Xenopus tropicalis: one gene and its partners. The protein of the gene in region 3 interacts with the protein of the main gene of each other region in a biochemical or structural test. Links are inferred from orthologs where the notes say so. Each region holds a gene or a part of one and is shown on either strand. Other genes may lie near its edges.

The links.
Region 1: the proteins of smad3 (region 3) and smurf2 form a complex in vitro, tested with the Homo sapiens proteins (2 studies listed by BioGRID and IntAct, with this or other methods). The link is inferred for Xenopus tropicalis from reciprocal best matches to the Homo sapiens genes SMAD3 and SMURF2.
Region 2: the proteins of smad3 (region 3) and nedd9 form a complex in vitro, tested with the Homo sapiens proteins (2 studies listed by BioGRID). The link is inferred for Xenopus tropicalis from reciprocal best matches to the Homo sapiens genes SMAD3 and NEDD9.
Region 4: the proteins of smad3 (region 3) and nedd4 interact in a test that uses a peptide from one of them, tested with the Homo sapiens proteins (3 studies listed by BioGRID and IntAct, with this or other methods). The link is inferred for Xenopus tropicalis from reciprocal best matches to the Homo sapiens genes SMAD3 and NEDD4.
Region 5: the proteins of smad3 (region 3) and ski form a complex in vitro, tested with the Homo sapiens proteins (8 studies listed by BioGRID and IntAct). The link is inferred for Xenopus tropicalis from reciprocal best matches to the Homo sapiens genes SMAD3 and SKI.
Region 6: the proteins of smad3 (region 3) and jun form a complex in vitro, tested with the Homo sapiens proteins (3 studies listed by BioGRID). The link is inferred for Xenopus tropicalis from reciprocal best matches to the Homo sapiens genes SMAD3 and JUN.
Region 7: of the proteins of smad3 (region 3) and wwp2, one has a biochemical effect on the other in vitro, tested with the Homo sapiens proteins (2 studies listed by BioGRID). The link is inferred for Xenopus tropicalis from reciprocal best matches to the Homo sapiens genes SMAD3 and WWP2.

Annotation. Positions count from the first base shown.
Region 1 is NC_030686.2:51,451,021-51,454,520, forward strand, and holds part of smurf2 (E3 ubiquitin-protein ligase SMURF2), read left to right. Parts: intron 1-415; coding exon 416-549; intron 550-1,551; coding exon 1,552-1,617; intron 1,618-2,170; coding exon 2,171-2,255; intron 2,256-2,521; coding exon 2,522-2,605; intron 2,606-2,999; coding exon 3,000-3,202; intron 3,203-3,444; coding exon 3,445-3,500. UniProt on the Homo sapiens protein: E3 ubiquitin-protein ligase which accepts ubiquitin from an E2 ubiquitin-conjugating enzyme in the form of a thioester and then directly transfers the ubiquitin to targeted substrates.
Region 2 is NC_030682.2:90,788,457-90,792,681, reverse strand, and holds the start of nedd9 (enhancer of filamentation 1), read left to right. Parts: upstream 1-1,425; 5' UTR 1,426-1,633; coding exon 1,634-1,645; intron 1,646-4,225. UniProt on the Homo sapiens protein: Scaffolding protein which plays a central coordinating role for tyrosine-kinase-based signaling related to cell adhesion. As a focal adhesion protein, plays a role in embryonic fibroblast migration.
Region 3 is NC_030679.2:117,418,039-117,421,200, reverse strand, and holds part of smad3 (mothers against decapentaplegic homolog 3), read right to left. Parts: intron 2,442-3,162; coding exon 2,297-2,441; intron 1-2,296. UniProt on the Homo sapiens protein: Receptor-regulated SMAD (R-SMAD) that is an intracellular signal transducer and transcriptional modulator activated by TGF-beta (transforming growth factor) and activin type 1 receptor kinases.
Region 4 is NC_030679.2:100,487,319-100,490,818, forward strand, and holds part of nedd4 (E3 ubiquitin-protein ligase NEDD4), read left to right. Parts: intron 1-884; coding exon 885-1,114; intron 1,115-2,664; coding exon 2,665-2,786; intron 2,787-3,500. UniProt on the Homo sapiens protein: E3 ubiquitin-protein ligase which accepts ubiquitin from an E2 ubiquitin-conjugating enzyme in the form of a thioester and then directly transfers the ubiquitin to targeted substrates. Specifically ubiquitinates 'Lys-63' in target proteins.
Region 5 is NC_030683.2:91,255,255-91,259,483, reverse strand, and holds the start of ski (ski oncogene), read left to right. Parts: upstream 1-1,429; 5' UTR 1,430-2,109; coding exon 2,110-3,039; intron 3,040-4,229. UniProt on the Homo sapiens protein: May play a role in terminal differentiation of skeletal muscle cells but not in the determination of cells to the myogenic lineage. Functions as a repressor of TGF-beta signaling.
Region 6 is NC_030680.2:86,738,427-86,742,508, forward strand, and holds jun (transcription factor AP-1), read left to right. Parts: upstream 1-1,415; 5' UTR 1,416-1,920; coding exon 1,921-2,859; 3' UTR 2,860-3,582; downstream 3,583-4,082. UniProt on the Homo sapiens protein: Transcription factor that recognizes and binds to the AP-1 consensus motif 5'-TGA[GC]TCA-3'.
Region 7 is NC_030680.2:60,884,277-60,887,776, reverse strand, and holds part of wwp2 (NEDD4-like E3 ubiquitin-protein ligase WWP2), read left to right. Parts: intron 1-1,640; coding exon 1,641-1,730; intron 1,731-1,878; coding exon 1,879-2,053; intron 2,054-2,848; exon of another isoform or gene 2,849-2,900; intron 2,901-3,223; coding exon 3,224-3,278; intron 3,279-3,500. UniProt on the Homo sapiens protein: E3 ubiquitin-protein ligase which accepts ubiquitin from an E2 ubiquitin-conjugating enzyme in the form of a thioester and then directly transfers the ubiquitin to targeted substrates.

The DNA of each region.
Region 1 (3,500 bases), on a different chromosome or scaffold from region 3:
GAACCTCAATCTCTGTGCCCCCCTACAGAACCCCAATCTCTGTGCCCCCCTACAGAACCCCAATCTCTGTGCCCCCCTACAGAACCCCAATCTCTGTGCTCCCCTACAGAACCCCAATCTCTGTGCCCCCCTACAGAACCCCAATCTCTGTGCCCCCTACAGAACCCCAATCTCTGTGCCCCCCTACAGAACCCCAATCTCTGTGCTCCCCTACAGAACCCCAATCTCTGTGCTCCCCTACAGAACCCCAATCTCTGTGCCCCCCTACAGAACCCCAATCTCTGTGCCCCCCTACAGAACCCCAATCTCTGTGCTCCCCTACAGAACCCCAATCTCTGTGCCCCCCTACAGAACCCCAATCTCTGTGCTTTCCTGTCGTTTCCCTAATGAGCTGCTCCTCTCTGCCCCATTTTAGCTACATTGGCAAATCTGACTCCATTACCATCAGTGTCTGGAACCACAAGAAGATCCACAAAAAGCAGGGTGCTGGCTTCCTGGGCTGCGTACGGCTTCTCTCCAATGCAATTAATCGGCTGAAGGACACTGGCTGTGAGTATGGGCATGCACCCCCTCCCCGGCGCCAGGCTTCTGTCCAGTAGAACCCCGATTTTACCTTTCCCTTGGTATCGCAGCAAAACTGCGTAACATCCAGGGACCACAAGAAACTACATCAGTTCCACAAAAATGTTAAATCAGCCTGCCTAAAATCGGGGTTCTGCTGTATATCCATTTATATGTACCTGAATCCGGGACTGCCCTGGTCATGTGGTCTGCTTAATGAGGATTCCTTCACTAATGCAACATGGCACCTCCTACCCATATGTATAACTACAAATATGCAGAGAAGGAATGTTCTGGGCACACAATAAGCTGTACCCCCATACTGTACTGTCTAAGGGAATCACTATGGCACCCCCTACCCATATGTATAAATACAAATATACAGAGAAGGAATGTTCTGGGCACACAATAAGCTGTACCCCCATACTGTACTGTCTAAGGGAAACACTAGGGCACCCCCTACCCATATGTATAAATACAAATATACAGAGAGGGAATGTTCTGGGCACACAATAAGCTGTACCCCCATACTGTACTGTCTAAGGGAAACACTATGGCACCCCCTACCCATATGTATAAATACAAATATACAGAGAGGGAATGTTCTGGGCACACAATAAGCTGTACCCCCATACTGTACTGTCTAAGGGAAACACTACGGCACCCCCTACCCATATGTATAAATACAAATATACAGAGAAGGAATGTTCTGGGCACACAATAAGCTGTATCCCCATACTGTACTGTCTAAGGGAAACACTATGGCACCCCCTACCCATATGTATAAATACAAATATACAGAGAGGGAATGTTCTGGGCACTTAATAAGCTGTACCCCCATACTGTACTGTCTAAGGGAAACACTATGGCAGCTTCCACCTCTATCTATGAAGTATGTGTATGGCTATACCCTGATACTGTAACTTATGATAGTGGCTGTCGTTGCACAAAAGTCATTGTAACCAGATTGTATGTTTGTGTCCTTTCCAGACCAGAGACTCGACCTATGCAAGCTCGGTCCCAATGACAATGACACTGTGCGAGGGCAGATTGTGGGTGAGTTGATATTAATTAAGTTGTGATTTCATGGACCAGATTTCTAAGGAAATGGGGATGTGAGGTGGCATTTTATTTCATACCATTTATGACAGAAACCGCACAGAGGTTTTCCATGCAGTTACAGTTCTCTCGAGTTATGTAATGGATAATAATGTCGGATGTGCCAATATAAGGGGCAGTGATTGGCTCTGTAAATATCCTTAGTTCTGACTGACTGCCGGCAGGGTTCCTGACCTTGCCAATTAGTGTAGCTGAAGCCAAAGCTGTCCCTCTGTCAGTGCCACCAGCATGCAGCACCATTTATTGTGTGTTCAGCACAAGAATAATTCCCAGGAATCTGGTAAGAAGTGTCGGATAGAGTGTAGATATGCCGGGCAGGGCAGTGAGTATAATGGGGGCCAGTAGGTAGAGGATGCAAGTGTCCCTAAACGTTCCACATCCCATAATGACTTTGTTACTGTGTGAGAGAGTCTCAGGCACAGACAGTCACACACAGTTGGGCATCTCATTACAGAAAGTTAATGTGCAATTGTCTGTTGTGCCTTTGCAGTCAGCCTGCAGTCCAGAGACAGGATAGGCAGCGGCGGGCAAGTGGTCGACTGCAGCCGGCTTTTCGACAATGACCTACCGGATGGGTGAGTTTCTCGTGGGATAGAGGCACGGGCATAGAGGAGTATGGGTACTGACCGTGATGTGCTCATGAGTGGTCTCTGCTAGCCTTTTGCAGCTTTGATTGGCCCAGACACGAGTCTGGAGAAGAATTGGGATGAAAGCTTTGGCTGCCAAGGGGGATTTTTGGACACCACAATTGCTGACCCGTTTATTTCTTTGCAGTCGTGGCTTGTTGTGGCCATGGCTGTTGTCTGCTAAGTACATTCACTTATGTCCCTTCTGCCTTTAGCTGGGAAGAGCGGAGGACTGCCTCTGGCCGCATCCAGTACCTGAATCACATCACAAGGACGACACAGTGGGAGCGCCCCACGCGGTAATGGAACCTTGTTTATACAATATCCGCTTTCTGTTACACTGTTGAACCACATTGGCTCTAATAAGCCAGTCTTGTTAGTCCAGCAGCCTCCTGTGTGTCGTCTTAGAATAATATGACGTCTCCCCCAAGCGTTTGGGTGTGTCTCCTTATTATAGAAGCCTTTCTTAGCCGGATGCTAAAGGCTTCTGACATTTTTATATGGCAATTACTAGATTATACGAGCTGTTTGGTGGCTTTTGTGTTACTCTGGAGTTATCCTTGAGTTTTACACGCCCCAGTGCTGCTTCTGTGTAATTTGCAGTCTCCCATTACCCTATGCTGCTGCTTCAAGAACAGGGAACTGTTACTTGGTGCCTAGAGATGTGCTGAGACCGGTGTCTCCTATCCGTAGGCCTGCGTCGGAGTACTCCAGCCCCGGCCGGCCGCTCAGCTGCTTTGTGGATGAGAATACGCCAATAACCGGGACCAATGGTGCTACCTGTGGGCAAACCTCAGACCCCCGCATCGCAGAGAGACGAGTTCGGTCCCAGCGGCACAGGAATTACATGAGCAGAACGCACTTACACACTCCTCCAGACTTGCCAGAGGGATATGGTGAGCTGCAGAGTTTATCTAGAAATCTATTCATTACCGGTAAAGCAGTTATTGGCCATGCTGCCCATTTGGGCTTCTATCGCCCCTCACTAGCAGAAATCCCACTGGTTTGACCAAGAGTGTGTAGGGCCAGGCACTACACAACGGTATTCCCGGTGTCTCATTGTGCACCGCTGTGTAATACTATTTGTCTTGTGTCTGGGAGAATGAGTGATTTCATGGCCTTTTACTTTTGTCTACAGAACAGAGAACTACACAGCAGGGCCAGGTGTATTTCCTGCATACACAGACGGGGGTC
Region 2 (4,225 bases), on a different chromosome or scaffold from region 3:
GTAACCCCCCCCCCACATTGTTTTTGAACTACAGCTCTGACTGCTGAGCCAAACTTTTAAAAAAACTCTCATAATGCTGACAGTCACTCTAAAGATGGCATGAGCTGTGACCCAGCAACAGCTGGCTGCTGCAATTTCAACATTTAGAACTACTGTGTTTTAAAACACGGTTCATTAAGTATAAAAAAAGAAATACCACATCCCACACACTAAATACAATTTTACTACAAGCTTTAAAAATAATCAAACACAGGGTGGGAAAACCACAAAATAGTGTCATAGGATAACAGTTGCAACAGGTCACCTAGACACCATCACAGCATGGGCAATGAAAATCATTTCCACTGAAAAAAACTGGGAGAAAATAAATGGGATACAAGGCATCATCTGCCTATTTATTATCTTGTGTCATTGTTTGTATGAAAAGTTCTAAGCATAAGAACCAGACTGGCAATCAGTAGATTCTGGCAAATGCCAGAGGGGCTGCTGTTAGATGCCTCTAGGTTAAGGTGGCCGATTCTACACGGCCAATTCTAGCTGCCGATATCGGCCCCTTAGACCAATTTGGCAGCTTATCGGCCCGTGTAGGGGCACTAACGACGGGCCTGCCCAACTGATATCTGGCCTGAAATCTGGCAGGTTAAAAAATTTAGTCGGATCAGGGACCGCATCAGCTCATTAATGCGGTCCCCGAACTGACTTTGCCTATACCCGTCGTTATAATTCGATCGTTTGGCCCAATTAGCCTGGATTCTCCTGATATCGCCCTCCCGTAGGTGGGGGATATCGGTAGAAGATCCGGACGCTTGGCGACATCGCCAAGCGAGCGGATCTGAAAGTGTATGACCACCTTTAGTCTCTATTTTATTACATGAATGGCTTGATGCCTGTAGCACTGGATGCCTCTGGCACTGGAGCTGCGGCACACAATGAGGGGTTAATGCCATAAAGCCTTTTTAAAAAATCCGACTGCACACCCTCATTCCCCAAAATATTGCTGTGGGGCAACAATAGTTCCTTCAATCTAAATTCCAAAAGGATTGGTTCCTAGGATATATATGAGGTTTCGAAGTGAGCATAAACAATATATCTAGTCAGAACGGGCAGGAAGACACACCCCTTTGCCACAAACCTTTGCCCCCAACCAAAGTATTTCTATTGAGATACTGTATTCCTAGGCTTCAAAGTAAAATGTCAAGTTCCGACTGCTGCCAGGTCAAAGCAATGCAGCAATGTGAGTCAGTTTCTTTTTTTACATGGCATTTCTTGCAAATCAAGCTCAATCCTGATATAGACATGAGCACACACACAATACACTCTCAGCCTGCTGGGCTCAGAGTACACTAAAGGGGCGGGAACAGCAGTATGTGACACGTTCTCATTTCAGCCTTCCTGGCTAATGGGAGGCCATATGCAAATAGCTGTCCCAGCTTGTGCTCAGCAAACCCAAACAGCTCTCAGATAGGTCTGTATGGTCCCACAGTGAAGTCTGCTTGCTGCTGCTGCTTCTGCTTGAAATCCACTTATAGCTGCCACGCACTCTAACACCTTGGTCTGGAGTTAGCGCTGGGCTTTAAACTCTCCAATGTGGATTCTGTAACTATCAAGTGGACCCAGAGGAGATCCAGCAAGAATGAAGTACAAGGTGAGTTCATAGCTAAACTGTATGTAGCTGATTTAGCCTTTTTCTTTGCTGTCTGCCTGCTGCAACGTGTACATGTAAATTCTGCATGTACTGCCACAATGTATATAGTTGGGTATAATGCTGTGAGCAGGCTCCATTACACAGGATATTCATGTTAATGAGCATGTACATTCCCTAGACTTACTCTAGACTTAAGGCTTTGTGAAATTTAAGGAAAAATGTGTCTTTCTCCCAGACAAGACCTTATTTTGCATGGTAAATTTACTGTGCAGGGAGGGCGTTTAACTGCTGGTGGAGACTGCCAGACTGCTTTATATTCTCTTCCAACAGGACACACTAATCCAGAGCAGACAGTAGTGTCTCATTTGAGAGGCTCCAAGCCCTGGTTATTGCTCTTCATTAATGATACAGCTCTGGATGCCTCCCAGCAGTGTTTTGGGGAATGAGGGATTGCAGTCTGACTTTTTAATGAGGCATTATGGCAAAGGTTAACCCCTCATTGTGTGCCACAACTCCAGCCCCAGAGATGGTCGCTGCAGGCATCAAGCCTTCATGTGAATGCTAACAAGACCAAAGGCTTTCTCTATTCAGAACTTTTCATACAGAAAATGGCACAGGATAATAAATAGGCAGATACTCTAATGCATTGTATCCCATTTATTTTCTCCCAGTTTTTTTCAGTAGAAATGATTTTCTCCCAGTTTTTTTCAGTAGAAATGATTTTCCCCACACTGTGATGGTGTCTGGGTGACCTGTTGCTACTGTAATCCTACGACAATGTCTTGTGTTTTTTCCCTGTGTGTTCCTTTGATTAGAAGTGATTATTTTTAGCTTCTAGTAAAATTGTATTTAGTGCGTGGGATGTAGTACTTCTTTTATTTATGCTCAATGATTCCTTGTTTTAAAACACAGTGGTTCTGAATGTTGAAATTGTAGCAGCCAGCTGTTGCTGGGTCACAGCTCATACCATCTTTAGAGTGACTCTAAGCATTATGGGAGTTGCAGTTCAGCTGCAGTTCAGCAATACCTTGGGAAACATGTATTGCTCATTTCTGACCTTTCTTTGTACAGCACACATTCTTGTTTCTTTGCATACCCTATTCTTAATGTCTAAAATGCCTTAGCACTGTCGTCCTTGAGACCCATAAGCTGTATGTGGTCCTAAATGTGACTTTATTATAGCCCCTAATCTGCTACAAGGTTCCATCAGTCTCTTTGTATGACATAATAATTATATTATATATTATAGCCCCTTTTTGTATGACATCATAATTATATAATATATTATAGTTCCTAAACAGCCTTTATAAAAACAGCCTCTTACAGAGCGAGAGCTGCATTAGGATATAACAGCAATTATCTGTCACTCCCTAAACCTCATCCACTGCTGTATTTAGAGCAGGGCAGAGAGGGTAACCTAAGAATAGACCCCTTGAACAGAAAACATTATAAGTGAAAAATACAAATGACATACACTGTGTAACTCCTGATTTATAGTTATAATTTTAAGAATTGCCAACCTCTGGCCCTCCAGTTGTTGCTAAAGGTCCCCATACACGGGCCGACTATAGCTGCCGATATCGGTCCCTTGGACCGATTCGGCAGCTAATTGGCCCGTGTATGGGGAGAGCAGAGCGGCCTGGCCGACCGAGATCTGGCCTGAAATTGGCCAGATCTCGATCGGCCAGGTTAGAAAATCCGGTCGGATTGGGGACCGCATCGGCTCGTTTATGCGGTCCCCGATCCGACTGCCCCATTGCCGCCCACATAATCCGATCGTTTGGCCCCAGGGCCAAACGATTGGATTATTTTTTTTTTAACCTAAATGCTCCCCGATATCGCCCACCCGTAGGTGGGGATATCGGGGGAAGATCCGCTCGCTTGGCGACATCGCCAAGCGAGCGGATCTGCTGGTGTATGGCCACCTTAACTCCAGAAATAAAGTGTACATTTGTGGATAATCTGTATGTACCACAGTCCACAAGAAAGAATCACTCCACTCTCAGGGGAAACAAACATTTTTAATTATTAATGCATGTACTGCCATTGCCTAGAGACTTGTGAACTTTGCTAGGTCAGAATTCACATGTAGCAACAGGCTGCATAAAGAGGAATCTAGCATTTTAATGTAGAATGCATAAATCTCCCTGAGCCTGACAGTGTTTCTAGTGGGTGTTGTTAGCTCTCCTCTGGCACAGTAAGCCAGCTGAATTAAACCAGTATTCTAATGTGCTTATATTAGACCTGAAGGATTTGTTTACAATACCTAATCGTAATTGGTACATAAGGTTTTTTTGGCAACTTACTTGGGGTTGCAGTGTTATAGGTCCCATAGCAAAATAATTGCATGACCCCCACCCCAAACCTTAAAGGAAACTCACCAATTTTACATTCAAATATTCAAATAAAAAAATTGTTAGAAATGGCAGGGCTACACTGTGCCCCCCTGCACTCTTGGGTCCCTATAGGTGCTGCTCTGATTAACTTGCCTTTCCATAATAAGAATGCAGCCCCTTTGTGCAATCTTAATGACTGCCTGTCAGCAGCAAATCAAGCAGTAATAGGACATGCTGTTTCTCT
Region 3 (3,162 bases):
TCTATGTTTCTCTTTCCTTGGGTTGAGCAGCATGGGCTTTTCTATGTTCCTCTCTCCTTGGGCTGAGCAGCATTAGCTTTTCTATGTTTCTCTTTCCTTGGGTTGAGCAGCATGGGCTTTTCTATGTTCCTCTCTCCTTGGGCTGAGCAGCATGGGCAGCTTTTCTATGATCCTCTTTCCTTGGGTTGAGCAGCATGGGCGGCTTTTCTATGATACTCTTTCCTTGGGTTGAGCAGCATGGGCTTTTCTATGTTCCTCTCTTGTTGGATTGAGCAGCATTAGCTTTTCTATGTTCCTCTTTCCTTGGGTTGAGCAGCATGGGCTTTTCTATGTTCTTCTCTTGTTGGGTTGAGCAGGACTAGCTTTTCTATGTTCCTCTCTTGTTGGGCTGAGCAGCATTAGCTTTTCTATTATCCTCTTTCCTTGGGCTGAGCAGCATGGGCTTTTCTATATTCCTCTCTCCTTGGACTGAGCAGCATTAGCTTTTCTATGTTTCTCTTTCCTTGGGTTGAGCAGCATTAGCTTTTCTATATTTCTCTTTCCTTGGGTTGAGCAGCATTAGCTTTTCTATGTTTCTCTTTCCATGGGGTGAGCAGCATGGGCTTTTCTATGTTCCTCTCTCCTTGGACTGAGCAGCATTAGCTTTTCTATGTTTCTCTTTGCTTGGGTTGAGCAGCATGGGCTTTTCTATGTTCCTCTCTCCTTGGGCTGAGCAGCATGGGCGGCTTTTCTATGATCCTCTTTCCTTGGGTTGAGCAGCATGGGCGGCTTTTCTATGATCCCCTTTCCTTGGATTGAGCAGCATGGGCTTTTCTATGTTCCTCTCTTGTTGGGTTGAGCAGCATTAGCTTTTCTATGTTCCTCTTTCCTTGGGTTGAGCAGCACGGGCTTTTCTATGATCCTCTTTCCTTGGGTTGAGCAGCATGGGCTTTTCTATGTTCCTCTTTCCTTGGGTTGAGCAGCATGGGCTTTTCTATGTTACTCTCTCCTTGGACTGAGCAGCATGGGCTTTTCTATGTTCCTCTCTCCTTGGGTTGAGCAGCACTAGCTTTTCTATGATCCTGTCTCCTTGGGTTGAGCAGCACTAGCTTTTCTATGTTCCTCTCTCCTTGGGTTGAGCAGCACTAGCTTTTCTATGATCCTCTCTACTTGGGTTGAGCAGCATGGGCTTTTCTATGTTCCCCTCTCCTTGGGTTAAGCAGCATGGGCTTTTCTATGTTCCTCTTTCCTTGGGTTGAGCAGCATGGGCTTTTATATGTTCCTCTCTCCTTGGGTTAAGCAGCATGGGTTTTTCTATGTTCCTCTCTCCTTGGGTTGAGCAGCACTAGCTTTTCTATGTTCCTCTCTCCTTGGGTTGAGCAGCATGGGCTTTTCTATGTTCCCCTCTCCTTGGGTTAAGCAGCATGGGCTTTTCTATGTTCCTCTCTCCTTGGGTTAAGCAGCATGGGTTTTTCTATGTTCCTCTCTCCTTGGGTTGAGCAGCACTAGCTTTTCTATGTTCCTCTCTCCTTGGGTTGAGCAGCACTAGCTTTTCTATGATCCTCTCTCCTTGGGTTGAGCAGCATTAGCTTTTCTATGATTCTCTTTCCTTGGGTTAAGCAGCATGGGCTTTTCTATGTTCACCTTTCCTAGGAGTTCCCTATACATTTGCTGTTTGCTGATTCTTGCAGGAAGCTTGATCAGAAGTGCTGAAACCATGCCATGGCTTTTTATTAACAATTTAAGACAATTCTTCTGTAAAGACTGCAGTTCAAAACATGCTACATAATGCTAATGTACAAAATATCAAGATGAACAGTACTCCAGTCAGAAACATTACCAGGTTTGCTGGTAACTACTCTTCAACTATCACACCTTTTTATGTTTTCCTGCATGCTGTGGACTACCACTAGTGGTGTGAATTAACTAACTTAATGAGAAATGCAAGGCCAATACTCAATCAATGCAGATCCACACGAAAATTTTAAAAACAAATATGGCACTGGGTATTTATCTTTGGGGAAAGGATGCTGGAACTGGGGAAAAACTGTTTATAGCTCTATCTTTACCCCTTTAAATGCACCCTGGGCAGGAGCTTACATTAATAGCACTGTGAACAGTCTGGTCTTTGTCAAAAGGACCAAGTACTTTATACAATGCTATACCATGTATAAACTACATCTAACATCCACACTATGCTCACCCTCTGGAGGTTATGACTTACAGCAATGCTACAAACAGCACAAACCTACTGTTAACAAATAAGGATAGCAAAAAGACCAAGATAGAGGCAAAATGTGGCTTCTTTAACACCAACCTGTATTCGGCTCCCCAGCCCTTGACAAAACTCATGCGTATGGTGCACATCCTAGTGAGCTGATACACAGCCTCAAAGCCTTGATTTACTGACTGAGCCAAAAGAGCAGCAAACTCCTGGTTATTAAATATCTTCAGGTTACAGCCTGCACAAAAATAAACAAATTGTTTTAATATTACACAGTCTTTGAAATGCTGTTACCCACATTTACACTTTGCTTGTTCAGCTATGTTGTATCATTCAAGTATGTTTAGAAAGGTGTAACTGAATACTTCTTGCACTTTTTGAAAGATGGGGAAATTAATGTACGTTTACATTCCATATTTCCAACAGGATCTCAGCCTAAAGCCAGTGCTGGAGACTGACAGGCCCTGCAGCTGTTTTGAACCTTTCTCAACCATTCTAAATACCCAGGCTGCACGTTATTGCAGGTTTAAACACCAGGATGCTGAATAGCTGAAGGTTTGATATGCCTCTAATAGTACTGACACCTTGGGCAGATTTATCAAAATGTGAGTTTAGAGCTCAATACATAAAAACTCACCCACGTTCTATTCATTCCTATGGGGTTTTGGAAGTGTATTTATCAAATTGTGAGTTCTAAATTTCACCTATTGATAAATACCCTTTTAAAAATCCCATAGGAATGAATAGAACACAGGTGAGTTTTTATGTATTGAGCTCTAAACTCACATTTTGATAAATCCGCCCCCTTGTGTGTTGATACTGAGCACATATAAAATCCACATACTGTATTACTGATCAGCAATCTGCTCACATGTATGTGGCCTTGGTGCTTAGAAGCCAGTACAGTCTGCAATGTGCACTTGATTATGTATGTCTAGTATAAAAGAGATCAGACTTGG
Region 4 (3,500 bases), about 17 Mb from region 3:
CGTGAATGTGTACATAAAAGTATATTTGGTAATGTAGAATTGTGTTGAAACAATTTGAAAATTGTCAGTAACTGTTTCTGCATGCATGGAGGAGTGTATTTCCTAATGCTTACCTGTCACAAAATTGTATTCCTGTTATGCTCAATGCTGAGATTCTTGCTAGCTTTATTAGAAGTACATCCTTACACAGTACATGACTACACTGTGCTCCATAGTTTTTTCTTTACAAAGATCATAGCATTATACTGTATTCGCTTTCTCTGATTTTAGTAATCATTATGTACTACATCTGTTTAATTATGTTAAAGTGCAACCAGGCTGTAGATATGTAAACAGTAGAAGTTTGCTAACCACAGTCCAGAAATGAAGGCTTATCCCATAAAACATTTTTACTTGAGCTGCATCATCTTTTTATACCTATTGTATTTTTCTGAATTAGCTCCAGTTCCAGATTCAAGTATAATTTTGGCTTTTTGTGCCATGGCCATTAGAAGTTTAAAAAGAAAAGATAATTCCAATTTAAATGTATTAAAAAATATTAGTGCTTTAAAAGTTATTTGTAAATGTAATTGCTATAGAAAGCAGCATTTGCTGAACTCCATGTTGTTACTTTTTAAACAGTGTTGCAAGTGCCAGGCTCCTCCAGCAAGTCAGGTCTGTAAAATCTGCTGCCTTGTGTTACATTGTTTCAAACGCCAGAGCCACTAGGGCAGAGTATAGAAAGGACAGGCAGATACTCCTTAATAGCAGTTATATATACAAATAACTAAAAGTTCTCTTTTATAAGGCAAACAATTATTACTACGGCAACATATCCTCCCAACCTTCCACTATTTCTGGGAAATTTGGAAAAATAAAATATGATGATTTATTTTTCCCATCAGATTGATATTCCAAATAGGTTTGAAATGAAGTTACGTCGTACAGCCATTCTTGAAGATTCCTATAGAAGGATTATAGCTGTAAAAAGGCCAGAGTTTCTCAAGGCACGTCTTTGGATAGAGTTTGATAATGAGAAAGGCTTGGACTATGGAGGAGTGGCCAGAGAATGGTTCTTCTTGATTTCTAAAGAAATGTTCAATCCTTATTATGGTCTGTTTGAATATTCTGCCACGTAAGTATATTCAGTGACAGTTTGCAGTTATGTATAAAACAATGTATGCATTCTGACAGTTGCTAGGAACACAGTGGTTGTGAATTCCAGAGGTTCTGAAACACTGGATATATATATATTTCTGGTTCTTAATTTGTAAATATGGCAGGCCCTGTATGATAATTATTTATGATATGCTTAACCCTATGGGATAGCATAGAATTATCTTTATTTTCATCTAGCTTGTTTAGGGTGATTCTTTAGAAAAGCTCTGCCCATCTGCCCTCCATTGGCCCCCTCACCTCTCCCAGCCCACGCAGTCTATGTAATAAAAAAGTGCCCCTGTTTGAACAACTTAAATAAAAATGCAGTGCAACACAGTGGAAATTGCAGGCACCATCTTCACTCCCTTTTGATCCTTTTCGCGTCTCTTTGCCGGAACTGAGCTTGTAGAAGTATGCAAAAGGATCAGAAGGGAGTGAAGATGTGCCTGCAACCTCTGCCATGCTGCACTGTATTTTTATTTCAGTTATTCAAACAGGGGCAATTTTCTATAAAATAGACTACAGGGTGGAGAGGTGGAGGGACTGATGGAGGACAGATGAGCAGGGCTTTTCTATACAGGGGGGGGGTTTGTTCTGCATGCATGGCACATAACCATATATTTTATTTAAAAAAAAAAAACATTGTAGGAACAAAAACTGAAAGTAAACCATATTTGTAAATAGGTTATATTTTACTTATAGTATTTCAGTTTTGTGATTATCTATTGTCACACAAGTTCACAAGACTAATGCCGCTCTCACTATAATATACAAATTTCACTCAGAATAAAAACAGTCAATTTATTTTTATATTATTAAAAAAAAAAAAAAAACAAGAAAGGTGCTAGTGAGGAGTGGAGTGAAATGCATATTAGTTAGTCCTATAAATGGGCTCTAGTGGGTTTGTTTTAAATTCCTGCTGCTGCTTCCTGTAACATTATACCAGTAATTGCTTTGAGATTCCTATACTAAAATAGCTTACTACTTATTTTATTTTATAAAGATTATTTGGGAACTTGGACATTTGTTTTTTATAATGAAAAATCTGACTTGGCAAGATTTTTTTATTTTACTTGGTTAAAAGTTTGAATTGTATTCCAAAGTATTGAAATAAGCAGCATTGTGTAGTAATGCAATAAATTCTGAACCTGAAGAGCATTTTCCAAATACTAGATTATAAACTCAGGCAATGAGGGATGAATATACATGTCTTTAAAATGTTTTTTCACTCTATATAGGAAGAATAAAAAGTAAAAAAGAGAAGTTTCTGGCAGTGTCCCTGCTACCAGAAGAATAGTTAAAGACAGTTTTTCAAAGAGTTGATTTCATACTTACCACTGTAGGAAGTAAAGAGACACTTATTTGTCATCATTTAAATGATGTTTCTTCTGGAATGTTTTCCACTGAAACTTTTTTATGAATGTAACTTATTTATTACATTATGTTGATAACTTAGGCAGCTTTTTCAAAAGATTTTCATTGTTTAGCCATATGTTTTTTTTTTAACTTATTTCATTGTTTTAACAGGGACAACTATACTTTACAAATTAATCCTAATTCTGGTCTGTGTAATGAAGATCACCTTTCGTATTTCAAGTTTATAGGCCGCGTGGCTGGAATGGCAGTATACCATGGAAAGCTTCTTGATGGTTGGTTTTATTCTATGTAACTCAAAATGAAGTCCCGACAATCATGTTAACAATTAAATCTCACTGCAGGTTAGGGGCAGATTTCATAAAATCAGATTCTCAGCTACAGATTAGCAGTGCCATGTTGCACAAGGGCTGCTTGCTGAAATTCACTTATGCTGTAGAGCAGGGGTGGGCATAATTTTTGGCTCAGGGGCCACATTGACTGAAAATTTGACAGACGGGCTGGGCCAGCTTTACACCATTTCCGCTCGTCAGTCCCCAGACGCCAAGTCTCGCGTGATGAGACTTGCGGAGTTGGAGGGCAAGATAAAAAAGACCAACGGGCCGGACGTGGCCCATGGGTTGTAGTTTGCCCACCCCTGCTGTAGAGCTTTAATGCATGGTTGTAAGAGAAAAGAAGCAAATGTAAATTATGGAGTTTTTTCTTTTTAGATATACCAAATCTTTGGTAACTCTGCAGCCAATGCCTATGATATAGCCATGTAATGATAGAAAATACTTTTACATGTCTAGAACATGTAAAATAACATTTCTTTAGAGTAACCAACAAGCTGTTGTTGTTGTTGCTTTTATTAGCTGATGTGCTTTTGGGAAGTCATCCAGTCTGACATTAGCGTGACATCACAGCACTTTTTAAACCGATGATAGTATCCCTTTAATGCAAATCAAACTGTCTGTTATTAAAGCTGGATTTATACTGTATCTAGACTT
Region 5 (4,229 bases), on a different chromosome or scaffold from region 3:
ATTAACAACCACCCTCTGTACCCGATCCTGTAGCCAGTTTTCTATCCATGTGCAAATGACTTCACTAAGACCAATAGACCTTAGCTTAGAAAGCAGTCATTTGTGTGGAACGGTGTCAAATGCTTTGGCAAAATCCAAATAGATTATATCTACTGCATCCCCACTGTCCAGCTTCTTACTTACCTCATCATAAAAAGCAATTAAATTGGTCTGACATGACCTGTCCTTCATAAAGCCATGCTGATTACTGCTCATAATGGCATTCTCCACTACATAATTTTGAATGTGATCCCTTAACAAGCCTTCAAATAACTTGCCCACTACGGATGTCAAACTTACAGGCCTATAATTGCCAGGCTGAGATCTTACTCCCTTTTTAAATATAGGCATGACATTCGCCTTCTTCTAATCGGTGGCCATTCATGCAAAGATCTGCTTGTTTATTATTGCCCACCTTGAGGTGGGCAATAATGAACTGTAATGCAGGCCTTCGGGTGAGGACCACATCAACAAGCCAAAAAACTATCCGTCCAATTTTCGCCCAGATATTGGTAGGGCAGGCCCTTTGGAGGGTCTTATACGTGGACAGAAAAGCTGCCATCTCAGTCTGAAGGGGCAGAATCTGCCCATGTATACACAGAAAGGTAGTCTACAGAAAGGTATTTTTGGATGTGTTTTTTTTTATCCGCAGGCAAAAAAATGCCCCATGTGCCAGTTCCCTAAATGTCATGCAGTCATGGGGCATGACAAGCACTGGACAAGTTTGCATACAGGCGTTTTTATTCATCCTTTTTTTTCCTATGTGCCCAGGCATGTACCATTGCCATGCATTTTCTAGCAGTTGGCTTGGCATTGTGTGGCCCTGCATATTAATAGTGAGTGTGATATTCTGTGCCTGTGCAAGTTTAAAGACTTTAAAGATTTAAAATGTACCCCAAATTATTATTATTATTAACATTTATTTATAAAGCGCCAACATATTCCGCAGCGCTGTACAATAAGTGGGTTTCATACATTGGGCATACAGAGTAACATATAAAGCAATCAATAACCGATACAAGAGGTGAAGAGAGCCCTGCCCAAAAGAGCTTACAATCTACAAATTGAAACTTTATATATTTGTATGTGAAAAAAGAGACAGATAAAAGGACAGTATATAAATATATGGCAGGAAAAATAATAGCCTTATGTGGGGGAATAGTTGAGAATTACCTTTTCACCTTTTGTATAGCATTATCCCCTTGCATTCTCTGTTTATTGAAAAAAGAAAAAAAAACACCCTTCCTCTTTTGTAGCCAATGGTTTTACGCATGAGAAACACGAGATTTATTTTGCCTTCGACAGACAAGTTTTTTTTTTCCGCTTTGCAGTAGAAAAAAAAAAAAAAAAAAAAAAAAAGGCAGCAGCAGCGGCAGCAGAAGGAGGAGGGAGGGGGTGGAGGTTGTTCCTGGAAGAGCCACAGCCTGGGGAGTTGGTCACATTCTTGGCTGGGATTCAATGACTGAGGCAGACACCAACAAACAGAGAGAAAGGGGGTGGAGAAGGGAGAGGAAGAGGGGAGGGAATGAGGGAGGGGGAGCGCAGAGCGCAGACAGGGTGCATGAGGCAGGAGGCATTCAGGCAGTGAACAGCACCGGGAAGGCAGCAGCCTGTGTGTATGGGAGGCAGAGCCGAGCTCTCCCCTAACCTCCAGCAGAGCAACATGAAGGGGAACTCGTGAGCCGGAGCCGCTGCTGTCCCGCCCGCAACTTCCCACAAACGCAGCCGCAGCCCCCTCCCCCCTGGGTACTGAGGGAAAGTTCAGCCGCGTTTGTGCCTCCTCAGCGGAAAGTGACAGGGACTCGGAGTTAGTGAGCTGGCTGGGACGCTATGGGCAGGAGGAGCCCATCTCGGCACTGAGCAGCTCCCAGCTGGATGAAGCGCTGTGAGTGGCAAGGGATAGCCCAGGAGAGAGTGGGCACAGCACGGCTATATGGAGGCTCAGAGAGCCCACTGAGCGCCACTGTGGATTGAGAGTAAAGCCCAAAGGCAGCGATCGATTGACCTGCGCGGAACTTGCCCCAGTGAGTGTGAGTGGCTGCTCCGAGTAGTGTCGGGGAGCTTTCAGGCATGGAGACCGTGAGCCGGAGCAGCTTCCAGCCCCATCCCGGGCTCCAGAAGACCCTGGAACAGTTCCACCTGAGCTCCATGAGCTCTCTGGGCGGCCCGGCCGCCTTCTCAGCCCGCTGGGCTCAGGACATGTACAAGAAGGAGAGCGGCAAGGAGCCCCCGGAGCCCGTTCTACATTTACCCAGCCAGCCGCCCCCAGTCATCCCCGGGGGGCCCCTCTTCATGCCCTCAGACCGCTCCACGGAGAGGTGCGAGACTATTCTGGAGGGGGAGACAATCTCTTGCTTTGTGGTCGGAGGCGAGAAGCGCCTGTGTCTGCCCCAGATCCTCAATTCGGTGCTGCGGGACTTCAGCCTGCAACAGATCAACGCCGTGTGCGACGAGCTACACGTGTATTGCTCCCGCTGTACGGCCGACCAGCTGGAGATCCTCAAGGTGATGGGCATCCTGCCCTTCTCGGCGCCCTCCTGTGGCCTCATCACCAAGACGGACGCGGAGCGGCTGTGCAACGCCCTGCTGTATGGGGGCAGCTACCCGCCCCGCTGCGCCAAGAAGAGCGACTTCCCGCCGGGACCCTTAGAGCTGGAGCTGACCGAGAGCAGTTTCAGGGTGTACCATGAGTGCTTCGGCAAGTGCCGGGGCCTGTTCGTGCCCGAGCTGTACGGCCACCCCAGCGCCCCCTGCATCCAGTGCCTGGACTGCCGCCTCATGTATCCCCCGCACAAGTTCGTGGTGCACTCGCATAAGGCGCTGGAGAACCGGACTTGCCACTGGGGCTTCGACTCGGCCAACTGGAGGGCCTACATCTTGCTGGCCCGGGATAACCCCGGGGCCGGGGGAGAGGAGGAGCAGGCTAGGCTGAGCCGGCTGCTGGAGGAGATGAAGGAGAAGTTCGACTACAGCAACAAGTACAAGAGGAAAGCAGCCAGGGTGAGTAAGTGGGGTGGCTACAGGTAGCCTTCATTACCTGGCCAGCTTGCTTTGGTCTGTTTCTTTGTCTTATCTGAGGGCTAAACCATAGACTTTAGTAGCGGTGTGCTACTAGCCACTTTTCCAACAGCAGTTATTCCCAGAGAGAAATTTTCTTTTCAATAAAAGATTACTTGAAAAGTTTAGTTGCTTTACCCCAGGAGCTGTAGAGTTAAAAACCTTACGGTACCAACAAGGTGATGGGAATTGCGGGTGTGTTTTTCTTTGGCTTGAATAATGGTATGTCTTAAATTGTGGCCTGTTGGTGCTGTGTATTTCTGCGGCTGGCCCGCTAATTTCTGGGCATGTGCCCAGCTGTGCCATTGCCTTACGTGTGCCTCAAAACTTTGTACCCTCCCAAGCAACTGTATTTTGTATGGAAAGTATTCTGCAATATTGCAGGAATTGACTTGGTTGTTAATCCTTTATCCCATAAAAGTAAAGCCGTTAGATACTGCCTGGGTAAGCATATATAGTGAGCGTTCTTGGCATTGGCAATTGCCAGCGCATGGTTGATCAACATTACTGAATGTCGCCCCCATTTCCAGCTGATAGGGAGATGAAGACAAAACTTACATACAGAGTAGAACAGGAATCGCACAGTGGGTACTCCCAAGCTACGCTGGCGTCTGTTCCTTTAACTGAGAGCAAGAGATCTATGGCCATGCTTGGAAAGGTAATTAGGCGACAGGGAAGAGCACATCACCCTGTAAGTGGCATTTAAAGTGACCTGATGGTAACCCTGCTTCAAGTTCAGTGCTGATCCCGCGGATGATACTTGGTGCTCTTTATAGCTGCATCTCTTGGTTACAGCAGGCTATGGAGATAAGTCGTACATTTGCAGATCTGACAATTTTGTATGTATGTACTAAACAGGTGCAGACAGTTTACATCCCCTTCCCCCCATCCTAGTGCCTGCCTATGTAGCTTTAAAGGTGTTGACATGTCAACTTCGGCTTCAAGTGCGGACGAGCCGTTCTGTGAGCCGCCTTCCTCTTACCTTGATCTTTGTACCCTTTGGGTTTTCTTGTTACTCTTGGAAATGTGTCATTAGTTTATATGTTACATATAGAATGTACGCTTCTTTGCCAGTGAATTGCTGTAGCCTAGGTGCTTGGATAGAAGTCGTACTATATTTGGGTACGTTGCCA
Region 6 (4,082 bases), on a different chromosome or scaffold from region 3:
CTTACATTATGGTTTCTCTTAATGTTTTCCTGTACCATGTGGATATACAAAAAAGAAATGTTGCTATTTAACACTTTCAGCAGCTCTTCATGAAAGATGTCCAACTCAGTTAGGGAACTATCCTCTGTGGAGGAATGGCTGGGTATCATGGAAGCTGTAGCTCAGCAGCTGTTAAGAGTGGGTTTAATACTCAAGATCTCTATCAATTTCTAAGGATTTTCTATTCACTTTGGTGATAAACCAAATAGCCTGCCTGCTCTCTACCCATAAAAGCCAGTCTCCGTTCTCATGGATGCAACCTGATCTCCTGTAAACTTTTTAAGCCTCCCCAGCGCTCCCCCTACCTCCTTCACCCTGCTTCCAATCATCCTTTTTTTACTTTCATCAACGCCCACATCATAATCTACACACCCACCCACCAATAAACTCCCTCCCCCACCAAATTAAAAAAAAAAAAAAAAAAAAAAAAAAAAAAAAAAAAACTTTCCCTCACCTTTTCTCCCTGGCTATCCACCCCAGTGCAGAAAGGCATGATCATTAGAATGTAGCACATGCCTACACAACACTGGGACCCTTTTAATAACAATGATGCTATACAGCCTTACATGTTCTCTGTCACTGACACTGGTGTATCTATGCAATGTTGCGATCCTCAAGCTCTTGTTGAACTCCTAGTCACATACAGCCCCACCCCCACACACGGACCCGCAATGGCCGGAGGGCTGCAACTTGGTCTCCCCCGTGTCCTACACAAAGTAAAACAGCGAAGAGAACAATAACTATAAAGCCAGTAAAACTATACCACACTAATAACATTCTACCGAAAATAACCAGTTGTTTCAAAACTACAACTCCCAGCAACCACTACCACATTTTAGTTCGGCAACTAACAAACAACATATTGAAAAACCTGCCATACTGATCGCTTAAACCTGTGGAAATAATCTGTTTCAACTCTGAGTTTTCAGTTTCACCAGCCGACAAACACAGCCCAAGTCCTCCGGTTCCTTATGTGACAGACAACCATTACAACCATATCGCGCTTTGCTAGGAAAGGGATGAGTCTCCTCCGCGGCTTACGACTACCATACAATTGCCTCAAGCCCCTGTCCAGTACCAGGGGGTGAGCGGAACAGCCCTTATGGCGGGAAACCCACGTCAAACTACCATCCCAACTACCAAAGCAAGGAACGGGCACCGCCAACAACAATACGTCAGCCCACAATGCCCAGCGGCAAAGGAGCATTACCTCATCCCATGAGCCTTCGCGAGAGTTAGAATCTTCTAGGGCGGTCGTCATAGCGACCGAGGCTCATTTGGCCTCGCTGGCCCGCCTCCCTTCCCAAGGCTCAACCAATAGCAGGACGTTGGGGTGACATCATGTCTATTTTTAGTGGGTGACCGCTCGCAGATAAGTGTTAGCTGCACGCTGTCCCACAGCCCAGTACAAGTGAGTAGAGCTCACACTGACAGCACTTGTGGCGCTTGGGGAGAAGGAACGTCTAACTTCTCAGTGACTTCTTCCTTGTGTCCGTGTGCCTGACACCTATACTGGGCACACGCACACACCCAGCGCTCGCCATTACATATCTCCGGCGGCGCTTTGGAAACTTTCCCGGGAGTTTATAAGAACTTTTGTGGCGTTCGGAGTACGAGGACCTCTTTGCTGCTAGAGACACAAAGTAAGTCGCATTTATTTCTGTTATGTGCCAGGCTGGGAGCAGTTGTGCTTGAACTCTCACTACGGGACACTGCCAGTTGTAGTTCGGCAGGCGAAGCATAAGTTCCATTTAGAAGAGGGGTGGAGGTGCCATGGGGTTCGGTGTGTCAGCTAACAACCTGTTCGCTCTTCTCTCTAGGCTGGTGCTGGTGTCACACTAACGTAAGGTCCAGTCATCGTCCCTGTCCGGCATCCGTTCTATGACTGCAAGGATGGAACCTACTTTCTACGAAGATGCCCTGAGTGCTGCTTTCGCCCAGCACGATGCTACTCCCTATGGTTACAACAAGGTGCTGAAGCAAAGCATGACCCTGAACCTGTCGGACCCCAGCAGCGCCATCAAACCTCACCTGAGAAACAAGGCAGCTGAACTGCTCACCTCCCCTGATGTTGGGCTTCTCAAGCTCGCCTCCCCGGAGTTGGAGAGGCTTATCATCCAGTCCAGCAATGGCATGATTACCACCACCCCGACCCCCACCCAGTTCCTGTGCCCCAAGAATGTCACAGACGAGCAAGAAGGCTTTGCAGAGGGGTTTGTTAGGGCACTGGCAGAACTCCACCATCAAAACAACTTGCCAAGTGTAACCACTGCCACCCAACCTGCCAGCACGGGACTGACACCTGTATCTACTATTGCTGGAAACACTGGCTTCAACAATAGTCTTCACAACGAGCCCCCTGTGTATGCCAATCTAAGTAACTTTAACCCAAGTACCATCACCACATCATCGCCTTTTAACAGCAACACCATGGGGTATACCGGCCAACATCAGAGTAACCCACCAATACCCGTGCAGCACCCCAGGTTACAGGCTCTGAAAGAGGAACCACAGACTGTACCTGAAATGCCTGGGGAGACTCCTCCACTGTCCCCTATTGACATGGAGTCCCAGGAAAGGATAAAGGCTGAAAGGAAGCGTATGAGGAATAGAATCGCAGCATCTAAATGCAGAAAAAGGAAACTGGAGAGGATTTCCAGGTTGGAAGACAAAGTTAAAAACTTAAAATCCCAGAACTCTGAACTGGCATCCACTGCCAACATGCTTAGAGAGCAAGTAGCCCAGCTCAAACAAAAAGTCATGAATCATGTCAACAGTGGGTGTCAGCTAATGTTAACACAGCAGATGCAAACATTCTGAAAAGGCTTCTTTGGGAAAGAGATGTGAGAATTATTTTGTGGAGGGAAATAGTTTCATGTTGAAACTCCCTGGCTCAAAATGAAAGGCACTGAGACCTGACTGTTCTACGTGCGTGTGCGGGGAGTCCTGACAAGCCTTTAGGTGGAGCCTGTGGCAATGCAACAAGCAGTATCACTTGTCAAGTGCTGTTCCTGCTCTAATGAAACATCAGATACATGTTTAACATTGACCAAGACCTGCATGGACCTAACATTCGATGATCATTCAGTATTAAGAAAAGGTTAAACTGCTAGAGACACTAGATTGCTTCCGTAGTTTTCTTACAAAGGGAGGGTGTGGGAGGGAGGCATACGGGACATTGAAAAGTAAAATTAATGACAAATCTGCCTGCCTTCTACATAACTGTGTATGTGTACATATTTGTTTTTTTTATTATAATATTAAGAAAAACTGAATTATTTCAGTAAAATTGCTTCAAGCATTTGTAAGTTATTTTTATGTTTGGGTTAATAAACCCACTACTTTCTGTAAATAAGAGATATTGAGCACTCTTGAGTTTACCATTTGTAATAAAGTATAATAATTTTCTATGTTTTTGTTTCTAAGGACAATTCCAGACGTTCAATTATATTTAAGATATTAAATAAAAGATGTGGAAATTAGATTTTTTTATTTATATTGATATTTTTTTTTACACTGCAATAAACGTGCATGTTAAACTATCTCCTGTGTATAGTACTTGATATATTGCATGAGTCTATTCAAGGGTATTATATTTTGACAATTATTTGATATGGGTATTGGGCAATATAAAAGTAAAAGCAGAAAAGAACATACTGACCAATATTTTCTTTATATCATAGCACTTGGGGTTATTTATATATGCTATTATAAAGTTCTGGGCTTTTGGCAAGAGTTTGCTGCTGTTATTATATGTTTGAGGGGTTAGGAATGGTTTACAGTATTCTCCAGCCTTATTGGCTAAATAATCATTTCCAAATTGTGCACCACAAATACCAACTGGTTGCCAGCCCTCTTCAATTTTACAAATTGATAAATAGTTGCTTTTCCTAAGTTTATTGAAAAAAGAAAAGTGTAACAAATTGATATAGTAGTAGTAACTAAAGTAGCTACTGATGAGAATATACCAACTAATTTATTAAACTGTAGCATTTTAGAGTCCTTGTTTCTTAAGGTGCTACTGGGAAACACAAGAGGTGTGA
Region 7 (3,500 bases), on a different chromosome or scaffold from region 3:
ATGCTAGTATCTTTCTCACTCTCTGAGGGCATTGAAAACTGGTATTTAGTATCCAGTGACATAAGATAAGTATAATATATACATAATCTGTATATGTGTGCGCATCTTAAAACACAAATACCAGACCTACATAATCTCTGCTGCAAAGTGGTTATATAGAAAGAATCAAACATGGTGCGGAGCTTCTTTGCCAAACAAAAACAGCAGCAGACATTTATTGGTACAGATTTTGAAGTAAGCCCTGGCTCTCCAATTATTGCTAACCTATCAGTGACTGCATCCTCCAAACCAGTGTGTGACCGACAATGCTGGGAGTTGTAGTCCAGCACCACCTGGATAGCCACAGCATGGCTATTGATAATATATACACACAAACATTACAAAGGTAGTATGACACACAGAATTTCTCTGGTCTGTGTAATAAGCCACAACTTTGTGCATGTGGATTTTGTGTGTCGTGTGTCTGTAGCTCTGTCACTGAGGTGTACATGGCTGGTGCTATGTGCAAGGTAATTCTTTCTTCCTCTGTCTTGGCTGCTGTTCCCTGCTCCAGCTCACACAAAGAGACTCTGTCTGTCGCTCTGGCGCAGGGGCTGCGGTTTCCTCCTGCAGTTAGGAGCGGCTCCTTGGCAGTGAATCTGTAGTACTGTGCCTGATTCTAAGAGTGGACAAGCTAAGCCGAATCCTTGTACCAGCAGGGCAACAGAAACCATGCTTTTTTCCCCTGTGTTTTCTCCCTGGGTTGTCGCTCCCCACTCTTTTTTTAATATCCCTGTGTTAGTGTGGAACTGTAACCATAAATGCCACTGTTTGCATATGTATATGCCATACGGTTTTTCTCTTACATTGTAAATGTTTCATGTTTGCATGCTTCCCTCTAAATCCTTGCTGTGATTGTGTTAATGTTGTAGCCCTCATCGTGTGTGTCTTGTTGAAAGATGCATTGGTTGGTTATGTGTTGCCTATTTAGTGACCCGCTGTCGCCTGATCTGATGCAGGCTTTTTGTTAGTCTGGATAAATAAATGTCCTATCGGGACAGTGTGCAGTGATTCTGTAGACAAGGCACCCACAGTGTCTGTGACAGAGTATGGAGTGGCTCAGATGTTGGTGCCAGTTCTGTACTGGAGCTGGATGTGCTACAGACTTTGGTCTGACGACACTTCCAGTTAAAACCTCAGTTTCAGACACTCCACAGATTACATGCATGGTCACATTTGGCAGATACCTTAGTACTTGTTTGTTTTATTTTTTTCATTGGCTTTAATGCTAAGAACAGTTAATGTTAAAAGAAGATAACTTTTTCCTTGGTCATATCTGCTGTCACCCCATGTCCTTTAAACATATTCCCCAATGGGAGACTCATCATTTTCAACATGAACTGAATGTAGGGATTTTAACATTTACACTGAAACAATTATTCACCAATGAGCTGCCACGTGACTTTGGGTATTTAAAGTTCCACATGCTTGGAAATGTTTGTATTTTTTAAATCAGAACCAAAATACATCCTTCCATTACAATACAGATTTGTGGATGTATTAATACTCTGTTCTAAGCCTGGTGTGTGCTGCCCTTTCCTGCCCCTGCCACACACTCACTGTATACAGTGCAGTGGTCAGTCCTGTGCTTTGTGTTTTAGGTGGGAGCAGAGAGAACTGAGCAATGGACGGGTTTACTACGTAGACCATAACACCAAGAGCACTACGTGGGAGAGACCCTTACCCCTCGGGTAAGACCCCCACCATACCAGTTAATGTAAACCCCACCAAGCTGTGTCATTGCCTCTGTGGTATATCTATAGGAGTAATCTTGTTAAGACACCAGAGCTAGAAATTTGTCTGTAGTGCTCCAGTCTAGCTTTTTTGTCTTTTATGCAGCTGGGAGAAACGTGTGGATAACAGAGGTCGTTTCTATTATGTTGACCACAATACTCGAACAACCACATGGCAGAGGCCCACAGCAGAATATGTCAGGAACTATGAGCAATGGCAGTCACAGAGGAATCAGATGCAGGGTGCCATGCAACAGCTGAGCCAGCGTTTTCTGTATCAGGTGAGAGTGCAGACGCCCCCAAAGGTTAGGAATTAGCAACGGCAGGCCACACAAAATACACGTGGTTTTCCATCCCTTGCATGATGGTATTGTTACCTGTGTGTTCTTGTGTGGTAGTGTAATTGCTTCTTGTCTACTAATACAGCTCTGAATTTTTAGAGCATATTCAAAAGTTTGAAAACATAATAAACACTACTGTAATGGCATGAAATGGGTCTCTAAAGAGAATTCTAACCTTTCTTTGGTAGAGAAGCTGTTTAATGCTTTGCATTAGCAAAGAGAGTTGTGAATTTGTCCTGAGATGCCCATTATGTCAACAATGTAGTTTTGGGAAGAGGGAAGGACAACACTTGTATTGTTGGGCACAATGGTGAAATCACAGGATTTGGACTGGTAGGACATTAGAACATATAAAGTCATTCCTCCTAACTATTTTAGCACGTGGCATCTGTCCACTTCTCCTTCGCCAGACAGCTAGAGTTTTTATTAAATTAGCTGTTTTACTATCTTTAAGAGAACATTTTTAGGGTTTGATACAAACTCTCCACAGTGGAGCCTGGTCCTCATTCCCTAGAGGCCTCTGAGCTGGTCAGAGAGGGGGTGTTATATAAACATTAGCACGCCACACGCCCCTTTTGCACCTCCCAGCAATTTCACACCCCCCCTTTACACACCTCCTCCTTCCCACTAAGCATCTCCTCACTGCAGGAGAAGAAAGGTACATTGTGAGCCAGGATCTAAGGGAAGGGGGGTGCAGCTCTGCCTATAAGTTGCTGAATGTTCTTCAGTTTGGGTTATTCTTGCACACCGCTCTGCCAAGGGACGGGCTTGATTGGGAGGGGAGGAGGTGAGAGGGGGTCTGTGTAGAGGTGGGGGGGTCAGGATCTAAGCCCAGAGCTGGGAAGAGCTGGGCGTTTACTGGTGGCTTGTGGGAATGATTTCATTTGAAAGGCCTGCAATATTTTCCCCTCTGGTTTAGGAGCAAGTCGGACGTGTGAGTGCTGAGTCCAGCTAGGGACATCTGATGAGCACATGGCATCTCCTGCTCAGCTCACTATCACTCCAGCAGTCATATGTCTTGAACCATTCTATCACTAGGGGGGAAATTTGCAGTTAGCTATTTGCTTTCCCACACCCTCACACTATCCATTGCTGTTTCTCTGTTTGCAGCCCTCATCTGCTGCTCCTGACAATGACCCGCTTGGACCGCTACCCAACGGATGGGGTAAGTGAAAGTGCATTCTTGAATGGAGCTGTATGTGTGACCCTTTTCAGCTGCATAAATTATTGTACAGCTGACAAAATGATTGTCCTATATGTCTATAATTATTATAGGAATATAGGAAATTGTCTCTCAGTATGATGTGAAAATATGCTGATTTAAAAAATTACTTCTTTTTATATACATTATATAGTTATATTGGTCCTAATAAGGTTTCTAGCTATG